2 linked regions of the Diceros bicornis minor genome follow. The protein of the gene in region 2 purifies or fractionates together with the protein of the main gene of each other region. This does not show direct contact. Links are inferred from orthologs where the notes say so. Each region holds a gene or a part of one and is shown on either strand. Other genes may lie near its edges.

The links. Proteins that work in one complex are often made in the same cells at the same time.
Region 1: the proteins of SLC16A11 (region 2) and EMB purify together in Homo sapiens (co-immunoprecipitation; 3 studies listed by BioGRID and IntAct, counting the BioPlex papers as one, with this or other methods). This does not show direct contact. The link is inferred for Diceros bicornis minor from reciprocal best matches to the Homo sapiens genes SLC16A11 and EMB.

The regions. Positions count from the first base shown.
Region 1 is NC_080759.1:24,653,528-24,661,377, reverse strand, and holds the start of EMB (embigin), read right to left. Parts: upstream 3,478-7,850; 5' UTR 3,258-3,477; coding exon 3,146-3,257; intron 1-3,145. UniProt on the Homo sapiens protein: Plays a role in the outgrowth of motoneurons and in the formation of neuromuscular junctions.
Region 2 is NC_080757.1:11,216,569-11,224,510, reverse strand, and holds SLC16A11 (monocarboxylate transporter 11), read right to left. Parts: upstream 2,607-7,942; 5' UTR 2,592-2,606; coding exon 2,390-2,591; intron 2,130-2,389; coding exon 1,986-2,129; intron 1,822-1,985; coding exon 737-1,821; 3' UTR 691-736; downstream 1-690. UniProt on the Homo sapiens protein: Proton-linked monocarboxylate transporter. It catalyzes the transport of pyruvate across the plasma membrane.

The DNA of each region.
Region 1 (7,850 bases), on a different chromosome or scaffold from region 2:
AATATTCCCATCTACATAATATTTCTCTTTTACAAAGATATTTTACATTTCTTCTTATTATTTTTTGTGTGTGAGGAAGATCAGCCCTGAGCTAACATCCGTGCTAATCCTCCTCTTTGTGCTGAGGAAGACCGGCTCTGAGCTAACATCTATTGCCAACCCTCCTCCTCTTTGTCCCCCAAAGTCCCAGTAGATGGTTGTATGTCGTAGTTGCACATCCTGCTAGTTGCTGTATGTGGGACGCGGCCTCAGCATGGCCGGAGAAGCGGTGCGTCAGTGCGCCCCCGGGATCCGAACTGGGGCCGCCAGTAGCGGAGCACGCGCACTTAACCTTAACCGCTAAGCCACGGGGCCAGCCCTACATTTCTTATTTAATTGAAACAGCCTAAAAGAGTTAAGGTGAGTCCCTGTGCTTAACTTTATTCCAGGGCTCAAAATGCGTGAGCAGCGGGCCCTGTGGCTTAGAGGTTAAGTGCGCGCGCTCCGCTACTAGCGCCCGGGTTCAGGTCCCGGGTGCCCACCAATGCACTGCTTGTCAGGCCATGCTGAGGCGGCGTCCCACATACAGCAACTAGAAGGATGTGCAACTATGACATACAACTATCTAGTGGGGCTTTGGGGAGAAAAGGAGGGGGGGAAATGTGTCAGCATGCTCTTCAGCTCAAATCAAGCATTTAAGTTCACACGTTGTGCTCTCTGTCGGTAGTTCTAAACTTCCATAGACATACCGAGTTATCTCAGAAAGACAATTGAGTATTGTGTTTAAGAAAACAGGCTTGGGAGTCAGATCCGACCATGCTAAATCTCCTGCTCTACTGCTTAACTATGTGTAAGTGGGCAAATATTTAACCTCTCTAAATTCCAATTTTCTCATCTGAAAGTCAGAGATAATAAAAGCTAACCCATAGGGCTACAAGCTGCATAAAGCAATGCCTGGCACATAGTTGTTATATAGTAAATATAAAAAATTTTAACCATTTTTATTATTAAACTTTGGCCCGAAGTCTTAGGTTTATAGAACACCTATTTCCAAGTAGTTCAAAGCACCTAGAAGAAAAAACAGCCAGTAAAATTCACAATATCCTTTAACAACGAGGAAAATGAATCTCATGAAGATCAATACAGAATCTATAAAATGAGATGAGGTTGCCTGACAATTTTTCGTTCTGCCTTAAAATGAGATGCTACTTCATGCCTTTTATATGGCACATTATTCCACAATTTTAGCTTAAGTGGAGCTAAAAGGACAGGCCTTACACTATATACACACAGACATTTGCCATACATACGTACATCATCCCATTTATTTACAACTTTGTTAATTTACTCCACTGTCATTTATTTGTTTCCTACTTTTTTTCTCTGTAGAAGTCTGCTCTGAACGTCAATTTAAACCTTACTCCCTGATGCCAACAGAATAACTATCTCCCCAACAGTGAGTGCACTCTCTAGGCCATTATCATTTTAAAGCAGTGGTTATCAACCGCTCAGAATCACATAATTAAAATCACACGGGAGCTTTAAAATTCCTGAGGTCCAGGCTGAATCCCAGGCCAACTGAATCAAAATTTTTGAGGGCAGGATCCAGGTATCAGTATTTATTTTTTTTTTTTTTGTGAGGAAGATCAGTCCTGAGCTAACATCCATGCTAATCCTCCTCTTTTTGCTGAGGAAGACCGGCTCTGAGCTAACATCTATTGCCAATCCTCCTCCTTTTTTTTTTCCCCCCAAAGCCCCAGCAGATAGTTGCACGTCATAGTTGCACATCCTTCTAGTTGGTGTATGTGGGACGCCGCCTCAGCATGGCCCGAGAAGCGCTGCGCCAGTGCGGGCACGGGGCTGCCAGTAGCGGAGCGCGAGCACTTAACCGCTAAGCCACGGGGGGCTGGCCGGGTATCAGTATTTTTAAAGCTCCCTGGGAATCTCAACATACCATACAGCCAGGCAGAAGACCAAAGTTCTAGGACAAACCCAGAATGCACTGGTCCTCAGAACTGCAGTATTCTCAGGTGAATGATGGGAGAATCAGGGATGGCTCCAGGGGGGAAATGTCCTTGCCCGCTCTTTGTAGGTGGTATGAATGAAGAAGATATGTGGCCAGGAAGTGGGGCAAGGAAATTTAGAAACTGAAGCATCCCAAAATGTTTTGTTCAAGTTGTTAAGAACTAGGCCTTATAAAGGACAATTTATAAAAAATGAATAATCTTACCCTTTATCTTTCCATCTTTAAAGCATGTTACAAAAAACCTACACGCTGTAAGCTCATAAAAATGAATTCCTAGGAAAGGTTGAAAACCTCGTGTAAAATAATATCCCGATTTTAGTTACTGATAGACAATAACTGCCAATTGGAGAGGTGGTCTATTATCCTAATGAGCTGCTAACACTGAAATGTATAACACGGGAACTTGCATTAGAAAGTAGATTAGACAGAATACGTTCAACATAAAAAGTAATTATAAACAGGTGAAGCTAAAATGGCAACTTTGGTGTTGGTTTTACTAACGTTTTGCACCTAAATTCCTCTTTCAAAGTGTCTTAAACAAACAATAAAACAACAATCACAAAAAACTTCGTTTTCAAAGACCACCGTGTAAAAGACGACACACACAGTATCCTATGAGTTGTGGGGCTTTGGTTGGTTGGTTGGTTGGTTGGTATGTTTTCAGCTCAGCTCTAAAAACACCCTCAAAGCCAATCCACCTGCCCGGAAGAGAGGAGGTGATAGTTAAGCCTTACTATCGATTCACGTGAAGGGAGTTGGCCGTAGCGATCGCGGCTTTCAGAAAGCCTGCCACTTCAGCCGAGGCCAAGTCGTTGCCTTGCTCCCGCCCGCACCCTCACACCCGACCGCCGTCTTCCTAGAACAGCCCAGTCACTGCCCTCTGACCAAGCCCCCGACTCACGGGAGCTTCGTTCCAGATTCACGCCGAGGAGCCCGAGCCGCCCCAGTGCCCTCGTGCAGCTTAGATAGCCAAAGGGAGGAGGCGGCCGCCGCTCCCCACCCGCCGTCGCCAGCATCCCTGCGCCTCTCCCCACCTCCCTTGCCCGGCGCGCCCCCAGGCCCTCCGCCCGCAGGGACCGAGCCCCGCGCGCCCCTTCCCGCGCGCCCTCTGGGCCCTCCCCGGCCCTGCACCCAGCACACCTGAGGGATGGCCGTCCGCCAAGCTCCGGCGCGCCGCGGCGAGCAGGCACAGGAGGAGGAGCGGCGCGGGCGGCGGCGCCCGGGGCCCCCGCAGGCCGGAGAGGGTGCGCATGGCGCCGGCGGCCCCGCCGCGGTCCTCGCAGAACCAGCTGCCTACGCGCACGGCCGTCGGTGCTGGGAGTCCCCGCGCACACCCGCCGGTGTCCCGACCCCCGCTGCCAGGCCAGAGGGCAGGATGCGCGAGAAAAGGCGAGTGGGAGGGGCGCGGCCGCCCTGCCCTCCTCCCCCGAGACGCTCTCGCCGCGCCCGAGGCCGACCCAGAACTGCGCCCGGCCCCCAATCAATTATGCAGCGCGCTGCCGGCTGCAGGCGCGCCCGGATGTGCGGTGGCCACCTCCGCGCCGCATCCTCTCCCGCCTCCGTCCTCCAGGCTCTGGCAGAGAGCTTGCTGAAGACGCTGGGCAGGTGATGTCAAGCCCGTCTCCTGGCAGAGAGGTTGGAACTCCTGTGTGTGTGTATATATATATATAGTATAAAGAAGCCTGCAGACTATCCTTTGCAGTTCATCTGAAGCAGGGGTCACTTTTACTTTGATGGGACAGATGAGAGGATGGTTAGACGGAATACTTTCTACCCCCACCCCCACCCCCGTCATCCCTGGGTTGTTAAGGAGACATGTTTGCACTGGTGGAAGGCGCTATCCAGCTGTCCTGCATCTTGGACTAATCTTTCTTTGCTCTGCGTACCAATCGCGCACATCCTCCCCTCCAGTCTCTGAAGGCTTAACTGGTTCTCTCTAGATTAAAGTTTCAGAATCCCAAGGCCCCACAGTGTGTCTGTTTTTCTTTTCCTTTTGTTTGTTTAGCCCGACAGTTTCTGAAGAGCCACCTAGAGCTCAAGAAATAAGAGCTACTGAAAGTAGATACTGTGTGCGCTGCACAAGCCTGCTGACATTCATCAGACTCTACCATTAAGATAATGCTGTCCCTTCCCCAGTAAGGCTGTAGCTTGGAATTTTTAGTGCTCCCGACCGAATACAATGTAACAAGTAAAAGCTATTGCTTTATTGGAGAGGGGAGGAGAAATCTACATTATAATGTAAAAGAGGTGTAAGATCTGATGATTCTGCAGGATGTTATAACACATTAAAGGATATTTTTTTAAAGTAAGTGTTTCTCATGAGCTTTGTTCCCGCTCCCTTTTTTTGAATATCAGGTTTGATATTCACAAATTCAAAATATATCAGTGTCAAAAAAAGATGGTTGAAAGAAAAAGTTAGATATAAATTTTGAAAATTGAAGTGCTACACAAGAGCTATGCTCACTTCAGGCAGAAATGGTTAATTTTTGTGTGTGTGTGAGGAAGATCGGCCCTGAGCTAATATCTGCCAATCCTCTTTTTTTTGCTGGGGAAGACTGGCCCTGGGCTAACACCCATGCCCATCTTCCTCTACTTTATATGGGAGGCCGCCACAGCATGGCTTGACAAGCGGTGCCTCCATGTGTGCCCAGGGTCCAAACCAGCAAACCCCACCCCCCCACCCCCCCCACCCCACCCCCCCCCCCCGCCGCTGCAGCAGAGTGCGCGCACTCAACCGCTTGCGACACCAGGCGGGCCCCAGGAATGGTTAATTTTTAATGGGTATGTATTACTAGAATATTCCTTTGTTTCCAGTTTAATATTATATAGGCAAAACTTTAAAAAAGAATGTAGATTGTTTAAATTGGTGTTGAGAGAATATGAGTAATACAATTCATTAAGCAATATTAAATAGCTACCAAGTGCCAGGCACTGCGTTCAAAATAGGCTGCATGTACTGCAAGGAGCGTGAGCGCGCGCGCACACACACACGGACACACACACACACATTATTTAATCTAGAAACCCATTTATCTATGAACTACAAATCTAAGGAAAGCCTCCTCTCAGTCAGAAAATTATGGTTATAATGATTAAGCCCTTCTGAACAAAGCCTTATGACTAAACATTATACATCATCACCTTCTTAGGACCTTGACCCGACTTGCTAAACTCAAATTGCCTCATCAATGGTTGCTAAATTACACCCCCTGTCTCACTGCCCTGCATCCTGTCTCAGGACTAACTACAAATATTTTCCCATACCTTGGAGAGTTTTAACAGTAAGCACTTCTCAAAACGAGCTGAACTCTGACTGACCTTCCCCAATTCGCCCTATAAAGTCCTTGAGCTCAAATTCACCTCTCTTCAAATGAGCTGACCTCTAAATTTAAAGAAAAAGTATCTTCTCAGTTGAATCAACATGTTTATGAACAGGAAAAAGGGACTTGCCCAAGTTGAGACTAATTCTCACTGTTGCTTTTGTCATTAGAGCAAAATAAATTGAGAAAGAAATACAATTCTTGTGCTGCTAAGCATTTTGAAAGTCTTTTCCCCATTGTTACTATTTTATCTTTAGATATTTAATATTTTTTGGCCTTATCCTATTCCACTTTATTTTTTCAAATGCTCCATATCGTTTAAAACCAGCTCACATGCTCCCTTCCCTGTATAGCTTTTTCTGACCTTTCTGCTCCAAATTGAACTTTCCCTCTATGGTGAATTAAATATGGCCACAAATGCTTTGACACTGTCCTCCTCATGAGGTATGTTGAGGGAGAAAAAGGGTCCTGTGTTTCCTCTCCTCCAGCTGGGTGGTCTCTGTGACTCCTCTGACATAGTAACTATTGATGAAGTAACGCTGTGTGAGTTTCCGGATCCAAACCATAAGAGCATCCACTTCCTTCCTCCTTGTTCTTATGAGACAGCTGCCCAGAAAGAACTATCACTACCTTGAGATCACCTTGCTATAAGAAGCCCAAACCACGTGGAAGGCACGGAACAATGAGATGCCACGTGGAAAGAGAGGAGCTGAGGAGCAGTAAGGTGCTAGATTTGTGAGGGACCTTTCTTGGAGCCTTCAGACAAGACCAGCCCCCAGCTGAGTACCACTCGATGATTCCAGTTGATGCTCCTTGGAGCAGAATTGCCAGCTCAGCACTGCCTGAAGTCCTGGCCAGCACAACTGTGAGGCAAAGCTGTTGTTGTTTTAAGCCACTAAATTTTCGGGTAGCTTGTGTCACCACAATAAATTATCCAAACACTCTCTTCTGAACTCATACTGTCTGTAGGATTAATTTGACAATTAATAATTTACAGCCTTGTCGCTTGACCCTCATTGTTGGCTACAATTTCCATTTAAATATTTTATTGGTATTCAACTTGTTATGTAATTATATCTTTTTTCCCCAAATACATTACAAGTCTTTTCAGTACCCGGAAATAGTTCTATAAGTCTTTCTATTTCCTGCAGTATCTTTTAAAAAATAGTACTTTTATTTTTTATTTTTTTTATTTTTGGAAACTGTATTATTTTATTATTAAGGAATCCACTTCTGTGACTGTCATGAAGCCCAGGCTGGGTTAACAGTGACGAGTTCTGGAGGTAACTTACACCCCACTCTGGACTTTCTGGCTATAACCACTGTCCTTTCTCTACCTCAACTGAAAACCCAGACCTATGAGGCGTCAATCCCTGCCCTCCTATTCCTGGTGGACGCCAAAGCCAAATATGTGGGAGGATTTTTCAGAGAAGATGACTTTGTCTTCACAGAAGACAAATCCTCTACTTTGCTTTATGAGGCAGATAACAACCCCAAACCACGGACAGGTTGGGACCTGCGTGGGCCTTGATAACAAAAATAGTACTTTTAGTGTGCTCTGTTTTTTACTTATTAGAGAATCAGTATAGGGAAAACATTTTTTTTCTGAAACATGTGCTTGTAAAATAATACTATAAAATCTTTATTCTTTTTTTATTTTAGGATATAAACTGTCATTGAGTGAAAAGTGTGTGACAGGGTCCTGGGAAGGGGTGAAAATGAGAATGGGAACGTGGATGTGGATGTGGATTACCTTTTACTGAAAATAATATCTAATTAAAAGAATTTTATTGGAGAAAAATGTTATATCAGACAGTAATATATAAATTAATAAAAAGAAAGGTGAAAATTTGCTACTGACCCTTAGAAAATAAACAAACAAAAAACCACAAATACAAATACAAGTCATGGAATATGGTAGGCAAAATTCTGTGCTGGCCTCCAAGATTCCTGCTCCCCTGGTCATGGGCCCTGGCTCCCCTTGAATGTGAATATGATGGAGTAGTCACTGCTTTGATTAGGTTACATTTGATAAGACACCATTTTAGCAGGCTAGAGGGAGCCGTTCCTAGTGAGAGAGATGCCCTCACGCTTGTCTAGAAGAAGCAAACAGCCACATTGTGAAGTAACTGCCCATGGAGGGGGGCAACCTTCAAGAGCTGAGCACCTCAGTCCTAAAACCCCAGGGAACTGAATTCTGCCAACAACTTGTGAGCTTGAAAGAAACCCCCAAGCCTCCAATGAGATCATAGTCCCACCCAACACCTTGATTACAGCCTGGTGAGACCCTGAGCAGAGGACCAAGTTAACCGTGCCTGAACTTCTGACCCGTGGAAACTGGGAGATGGTAAATTTGTGTTAAAACACTAAGTTTGTGGTAATTTGTTATGCAACAGGAGAAAACTAATACAGGGGAGCCCATCAGATGTGAATCTAGTTACATTGTAAGAAAATGATTCTATACTTGAACAAAGTCAGGAGTGGATATGGAAGAAAAAAGAAGGAAGTACTTTAGTCATCCCTGG
Region 2 (7,942 bases):
AATGTTGCCTACTGAGTTTCTTCTCTGAAGACAGATGTTTGGGAAAGAAGGATGCTCCTTTGAGATAAAACTGAGTAAGCAAACTGGATAATAATCAGAACTTCAAAAAGAGCTGGGGCCCATATGCTTGGGTTGGCTGAATGGGTCATGGCTGGGGAGTAGAGGGGAGGTGTCCAGGAGCTCTGGTGACCCAGAGCATTTTAACCCTGGACTCTGTTCTCTGGACCACAGTTCCTCTTGCCCACTGACCTCCCTCTTGCCCACTATCCCCTGTGACTTAGAAAAGACATTAACAGAATGGTGGGGGACACAGAGTGGGGGGGAGTTTGGGAGGGGGAGCTAAAGCTGAGAGAACTGAAGTCTGGGTCTAAGACTCTTTTATTTCCCTCAGGCCAGTAGGAGGATACTGAAATGCAGGAAAGAGTTTTCTGGGATGGGGAGGGGGCAGATAGCACCCATGAGTCGTCCCCCCAACAACAAACTGAAGCTGACAGCAGACAGCTTCTCAAAGATTCCCTGTTATAATGGCAACAACTTGGGCAAAGAGAAATGGACCGGCTGGACAGACAGACACCCTTCCCCTCCCCCAGGGCTTAGTGGGATCATGTTCCTTTGAACCAGCCTTTCTGGGTATCTTAAGTAGAATGTTTTCAGCGTCCTAGATTGGCTAACATTTGGAGCTTGCAGGAAAACCGGATAGAAATTCTTTATTGGGGGAGGGGCTCAAACAAAATAGTCAACAAGTGGTGTCCGGGGTGGAGTGAGGGCCTCCTGCGGAGAGCAGGGCAACCTGAGGAGCGGGGAGCAGCTCCCCCCTCTCAGGGGGAGGGGCCGCTGGTTGTGAGGCTGCACCGCAGGAGGGCAGCGCCCCGGGCAGCCCCGTGTAGATGAAGCTGCCAGAGAGGATGAAGGAGCCGCACACGAGGAAGGAGGCGGTGAAGTCGCCGGTCTCATCCCTTAGGAAGCCTGAAGGGAAGGGGAAAGGAATTTGGAGGCCTCGGACTCCAGGGGCAGAGGATGGTTGCGAACGGGTCGGCTGGCTCAGGCCCTTACCTGACAGAGGAGGGCCCAAAAGCCCCCCGAGGCTCATCAGCATCAGCATCAGCCCCGTTCCCTGTACAACACCTCCAATGCCCACCAGCCCCGGGATCACGCCGAAAACCAGCGGGGCGTAACTTCCGGCGCTCAGCCCGTAGGCCCCAGCCGCGGCCAGCAGGGGGCCCCCCCAGCCCTCCTTGCTGCGCGCCACAGGCACCAGTCCCACGGCCAGCAGCCCCAGCCCGGTTAGAGCCCCGAACACCGCCAGCAGCCGCGAAAGGGGCACCCAGCCCTGGTCCGCCAGCCACCCGCAGACCAGCCGGGCGCCCGCATCCCCCACCGCAGCCACCGCCACCACCAGCGCTGCCCCATACCCTTCCAGGCCCCGGTCTAAAGCGTGAGGGGCCAAGTGCACGTAGGGGACGAAGTAGCCGCCCCCCACCAGGGCCGTGCCCAGAGCAAAAACTGAGAAGGCCCGGCGTGTGAAGAGACCCAGGCCGAGGGCAGCTAGGGGTCCGCGGGGTGGGGCCTGGGGGTCGCCAGGGAGCGTCAGGGGGCGCAGCAGAGCGCCACAGGCGATAAGGTGAAGGGTAATGGCGCCAAGGAGGAGCAGGGCGCCCCGCCAGCCGAAAGTATCAAGGAGGAACTGCAATGCGGGCGCCAGGAGCAGCGAGGAGACCCCGTTGCCCGTGAGTGCCAGCCCCATGGCCAAGACTCGACGGCGGGAGAAGTAACGCGAGAGGGTCCCCAGGGCAGGGGCGAACACCAGGGCCCAGCCGGAGCCTGCGAATGGACAGGACGGGGTAAGGGCACCGGCCGGGGATGCCTGCCCCAGCAATCCCAGCCCGGCGCCTCGCGGGAGGCCCCCACCCGTTAGCCTCCAGCCCCCAACAAGCTCCTATCTCCACCATCACGCGTTAAGGACCCCAGTATCCCTCTCCCCTCACCAGCAAGGACACCCAGGCCGAAGTACAGATGCAGCAGACTGCGGGCGAAAGCCGAAAAGACGAAGCCGAGCGAGGTGAGGACGCCCCCAACCATCACCACGGGGCGCGCCCCCCAGCGGGTACTCAGGGCGCTGCCCACTGGGCCTAGAAGGGGGCGGAGTCAACGGAAGACACGCCCCTGGACCCCCAAACTCGCTCCAACAGTTCTCCTTGGCTGTTTGCCTGGCCTAAAACCCCTCCCCCAGCCTAATAGCTCCTTCCTTTGACCTCAAGACCCACTCTTTTCTAGAACGTGGTTCCACCAGTCTCCCTTTCTCAGCTTGTCTGGTAATCAGGTGAGTCCCCCACCACTACGCTCACGGCCCCTCCACCCCAGTTCCCGCCTCCCTCGGGGCGCCCCTCACTGGCTGCCTGCTGCACGGCCAGGGCCAGGGCGCTGACCCACGCAGTGTCCTGAGCGCTTCGGTCAAAGTGCTCCGCGAGGTCAGGGAGAGCAAGGCCCAGGGAGCGTAACAGCCCGTAGGAGAGCCCGTTCACCGCGAAGGCTGCGGCCGCCACCACCCAGCCCCAGCCCCCGTCAGGGGGTCCGGCCGGCTTGGGGGTCATCGCCGTCTGGGGGAGGAGGAACACCTGTGAGTGAAGTCTCCACATCTGTGCCTCCTCTAGGGACCTGGCATCCCTGAGATCCAGCTTCTGGCTGCCTGCCCAGGGTGGGCACGTCACCCTGAGCACGACAGGGCGGGGAGAGGGAGCGGGAGCTAGGCCTAGGGATAGAACTCCTGGGTCCGCGCGAGGTACTGGGAGGGGGAGACAGCCGGTTCCCCCAGGCCTGGGACTCCCTCTCCCGCGCACACCTCTTCCCCCTTACCCGACCTCTCTGCGCGGTGAGGGGTAGGGCAAGGACGAGGAATGGCACGGCCTGGTTTTCTCCCCGCTTCCCGGGCGGGCGGGGCCCCGGAGGGGAGCGAGTGCAGAGATGGAGCCCAACTTGGACGGGCTCTCTCCGTAAACAGAGAACACCGCAGGGGGCCTGAGCCACCTGGGACGCGGAGGGAAGGAGGGCGGGGGCGAGCTGAGACCGTCAGCCAATCTGCCGAGCCGCGGGTGAGGCCAGACTCCGGATCCCACGGGGATTGAATTATATACACACACACACACACCCCAGCCCCCGGGAAGGAAGCGGCGAGGAATGACTGCCGCCCCGCCCGCCCCTCTCACGTCCACGCACCTGCCGCCTGCTGCGCACGGAGGAGACGCGTGGATTGCAATCCCCAGCAAGCCCAAGGTCTGTAGGCAACACACGGAAATAGGGGTGGTCCCTCGAAGCCTGAAGGGATGAGTAGTTTTGTTCTCAGGGAACGTTGTGGAGGACCAGGTAAATCTCGGATATCAAGTCACAGACCTCCAGTGAGTGCTTGTTGGGTGCTCAACAATGTGCCCTGAGGACGGAAGGGAAGGAGGAGGACTACCTTATTATGAGGAGTTGTGATGTACCAGGCAGTCTACACGTGTCATCTTTCCATCCTCACAATAACCCTGTGGAGAAGGTGTCATCCCCATTATACAGATGAAGTGACTGAAGTTTGGAGAGGTTAAGTGACTTGCCCAAAATTACCCAGCTAAAAAATGGGGGAAATATTTGAATTTGGATCTGTCCAACTGCTGAGCCATACAAAGAGGACAGACCTAGGACTGAAATAGAATCTGCCAGTTGAGGGAAATGGCCTGGAGACAGTCTGATGCCAAACTGACCTGGAGATAGTGGAGTCTTTGCAGGGCCAGAGAGTATGGTTCTAAGATAGGGGTTACTGGGAATAGAAAGGATCCTTGCAATCAGAATCACTAAAGATTTAGATTAGAATTTTGAAAACAAAGTAAGAAATCCAAGAATTGAACCCAGGTATTGATTTCCTGAAAAGCCTTATGAAAAGCATCCTTTTCACATTAGGATTAAGGTTACCATTGCTTTACTTCAACTATTGAATCAAGAGATGTGTTCTTTGGTTTAACTGCGTGTTAAATGGTATCAGAGAAAATTGGTCAATTTACAGTTTGGGGTATGCATCACCCAGCAGCCACATGATGGCAGTGTTTCCTAATTGTTGAGAAAGTAGAGTTGAATAAAGAGAAACAGCTTAAGTAGTGACACTGTAAACCTAACAAACCTTCGATGGCTCTCCACTGCCTATAGGAGGAAGAAAATCAAATTTCTCTACTGTGGGTTTAAGGCCTTTCACAAGCAAAAGTAGAGCCAGACTACCTGTCCATTCCATCTCCCTCCCCTCTCTCCAAACCCTAGCATCTCACCTGCTCCATGGACAGGCCTAGCTTTTTCTCACTCCTGCATTTTTGCATATGTTATGACCTCTGCTTGAAATGTCCTGGATGGGATACAGGAATCCATGAAGGTTTAAGGTCCACCCCACATACCCTAGGAAAGTGGTCTCACCAGTTTCCCTAGCCTGGGGTGCTGTTGTGAAAGGCACCTGGGAGGTAGAGCCAGCAGATCCTCAGCCACCCAAGATGGCAGGGAGCCCACTTCCTGAGATGGCTGGTGAGGACTCTGCTGAACAAAGCCAACTGAAACAAATAGCTCCCTCTCCGCGGTGAAGTAAAAATGCAGGGCAAAGAGGAGACAGGGCCTCTGGGTCTGGGAGTTGTACAAAGTGAGCACCTTTACAGGACACTTATGAACCCAGAGGGCACCCCAGAGCCCGAGACTGGGGCGATTGGTTGTGAAAGGGCACATTCCTCTTCTACCTCTTGTTCCCTGTATTCTTAGAACAAATTACCATCACTGTCCATCTTTTGCTCATGGAGCTACTATAGGCTTGAGGTTGGGAGAATAAATTCTCAAGCTAGACTTCCTGGGTTTGAATCCTATCTCTGCCACTCGTTAGCGGTATTGTGAGCAAGTTACTCAACCTGTCTGTGCCTCAGTTTCCTCATCTCTAAAATGGGGATAGGGCCTGCCCGGTGGTGCAAGTGGTTAAGTGCACACGCTCCCCTTTGGTGGCCCAGGATTCACAGGTTCGGAACCAGGCACGTACCAATGCACCACGCAGCACCCCATGCTGTGGGGGTGTCCCATATAGAGTAGAGGAAGACGGGCACGGATGTTGGCTCAGGGCCAGTCTTCCTTGGCAAAAAAGAGGAGGATTGGCATCGGATGTTAGCTCAGAGCTGATGTTCCCCACCAAAAAATAAATAAATAAATAAAATAAAATGGGGTAATAGTAGTAGCTACCTGATAGGGTTGTTATGAGGATTAAGAGTCACTGTGTATACATGTATAGTAAGGGACTTAGAACAGTGCCTGGAACGTGATAGGTGTCAGCCCCCATTGCTGCTATTGCTCTGCCTCGGAGGAACCTGGCTAGACCCTACAGCACCGCTGCCCCTTTCCTACCTGGCTCTGTTTACTAATGCCTCAAGGTCAAAGAACCACAGTGGGTTGGTGAGTTCTCAGGAGAACTACATGAGCTATAAGAAGTGAATGGCTACAAAAAGAGGTTAAATGGAAATTTTTTTCTTTGTGGTGTGTGGTTTTCTTAGCATTTTCCAAAGTCTATGAGAAAATGCTGGTCTCCTATCTTGACTCTAAAAGCAAAAGAGAAGAAAGGAGTCAAAATAAGTTTTGTTCATTTGCTCCTTTATGCAAAATATTTATAGACACCTACCATGCCGGATGCTGTGCTTAGGGCTAGAGATACAAATATAAATCATACAGTCTTTCCCCTCCAAGCCCCCACAATCAAGTTAGAGAAAAAGTGAAATAAATAAATCTCAGCACAAGGAGAGGGCCACAGACACCATAGAGTGGTGCTTGGAAGGAACTGACTCATTCCACTTGGGCCTGCTGGGAAGGCTTCACAGAAGAGGAGCCCTTTGAGCTGGGTATAGAAGGATGAGTAGGAGTTTGCCAGATGGATGCGTGGGCAGGGACATTCCAGGCAAAGAGCAGCTTGTGAAAAATCACAAAGGCATGAACCAGCTTGGCACATTGTTTACTGTTTGGGGAGGTGTAAATAGCTGCTGGGTGGAGAACAGAGAGTGTGTAGGAGAATAATGTCAGAGAAAGCTGCTAGGGCAGAGGGTCCCATCATGAAAGGTCTTGTAGGCCAAGCTAAGGAATTTAGATGTTTTCCCAGAGATAGATGCTTCTCAAAAATTTCCACTAACGTAGCATTCACTAATCTTCACTAATATTGGAAGCTGACCACAGAGGAGAGAAGATTCATACCACAGTCAGAGGGGTCAGGAGGGTCTGGGGTTGTAGACCTTTTGCACTTGGGAAATTTCTTTGAAATAGCTTGTTTTACATTGAAAATTCATGTGGAATGTTGCATCCTACTTCATAATCTTCGATGCATACTTTCATAGGAAAATAATGCTTTAAATGACTAGGTAAATTATTTAAGTTTTTCTCCTTAAGTCTTCTCCACAGATAATGCAGCAAGGTCTCCTCTGGGAAGTCATCTGACCACACCCACTCCTAATCTGCATTAGATGCCCCCACTCTGCCTGCTTAACCCCCATCAGAGTACTTCTCAGCCTGCAGTGAAATCATTCATTTGTCTTCTGCCCCTCACACCCACGTTGCCCTAGAGGTGGGACTTTGCATTATTGATCTCTGGATCTTTGACACCCAAAGATGCCAAAGGTAAATGATGAATGACTGAATGAAAGAAACACTCAACAAGGGGCTCATTGAATGAGTGGACTCATGGCCCAGTGCTCCATGGGATGTGGCAGTACCACAAGAAGGAGTTACTAATGGACCAAACTGGTAATGCCTGCCCACCTGGAGAAAGCCCCAGGAGCAGATGTTGAGCTGGGTCAGGTCTTTACGGACATCTAAAGAGAGGGTCACGCTCTGTGCATAATTTGCTTTGGGGACCACGAGATCTGAGAGTGTGTCTATGTTTGTGAACTTTAAAACTGCTCTGGCACTTTCTCATGGGAGCCCCTGCAAGAGGTTGTTGGGGCCTCAGGGGTCTACAACCTCGAGGAAGCCCTGAGCTGAGCCCAGCCATTCCCTGGGTACACCCACTGGGGGCTCCGTCTGCAGAAGGTGGATGGGAGGGAAGAGGGCAGACAAGGATGGATGGTGTTACCCACAGGAGTGGGTATTTAACGTATGTTGAGTGGTATATTGAGCTCTATTTGAGGTAAACAAAAATAGGAGGCTTTCTGGTGTTTGGCCCAGCTGATCTTGGGCTTCTAAGTGCCTAATAGAGTTGCCTCTCACCCTCACCCCCCAGAATCCTCTCCTTCCCCGGCTCACCCAGAGACCAGGCCATGGGAAGTCGGTGTAGACCTCAAAGCCCAGGCCCAGGGCTCGGAAAAGTGGAAGAACATGACCCAGGAATGAGATGAGGATGCAAAGGTTGGGGTTTGTGGTTCAAGGCCAGGGAAGCACATTGTTGAGACGCTCTGAAACGGGGGTAGGTAGTGAAGCGGGAAGATAAAGGCGCCCACTCAGGACGGTGGGGCTCATTGTATGCAGGGAGCAAGTCTGCCTGGATGACCACACGTGAATGGAGAACCTCACTGAGTCCCCTGAACCTTGTGTTAGAACTGGAACTGGGTAAGGAGCTTGCTGAGTCTGGGGCTGGGGGAGGCTGGTGGTGGGGCTGAAGTTGGCACATGTCAACCAATAAGAGGCATAAACTACAAGAGAAGCAAAAAGTTTATTTGAGGTCTCAAGAATGGCGATTTTGGGGCTGGCCCAGTGGCGCAAGCGGTTAAGTGCTCGCGCTCCACTGCAGCGGCCCGGAGTTTGCCGGTTCGGATCCCGGGCGTGCACCAACGCACTGCTTGGCAAGCCATGCTGCGGCGGCGGCCCATATAAAGTGGAGGAAGATGGGCACGGATGTTAGCCCAGGGCCAGTCTTCCTCAGCAGAAAAAGAGGAGGATTGGCAGATGTTAGCACAGGGCTGATCTCCTCACACAC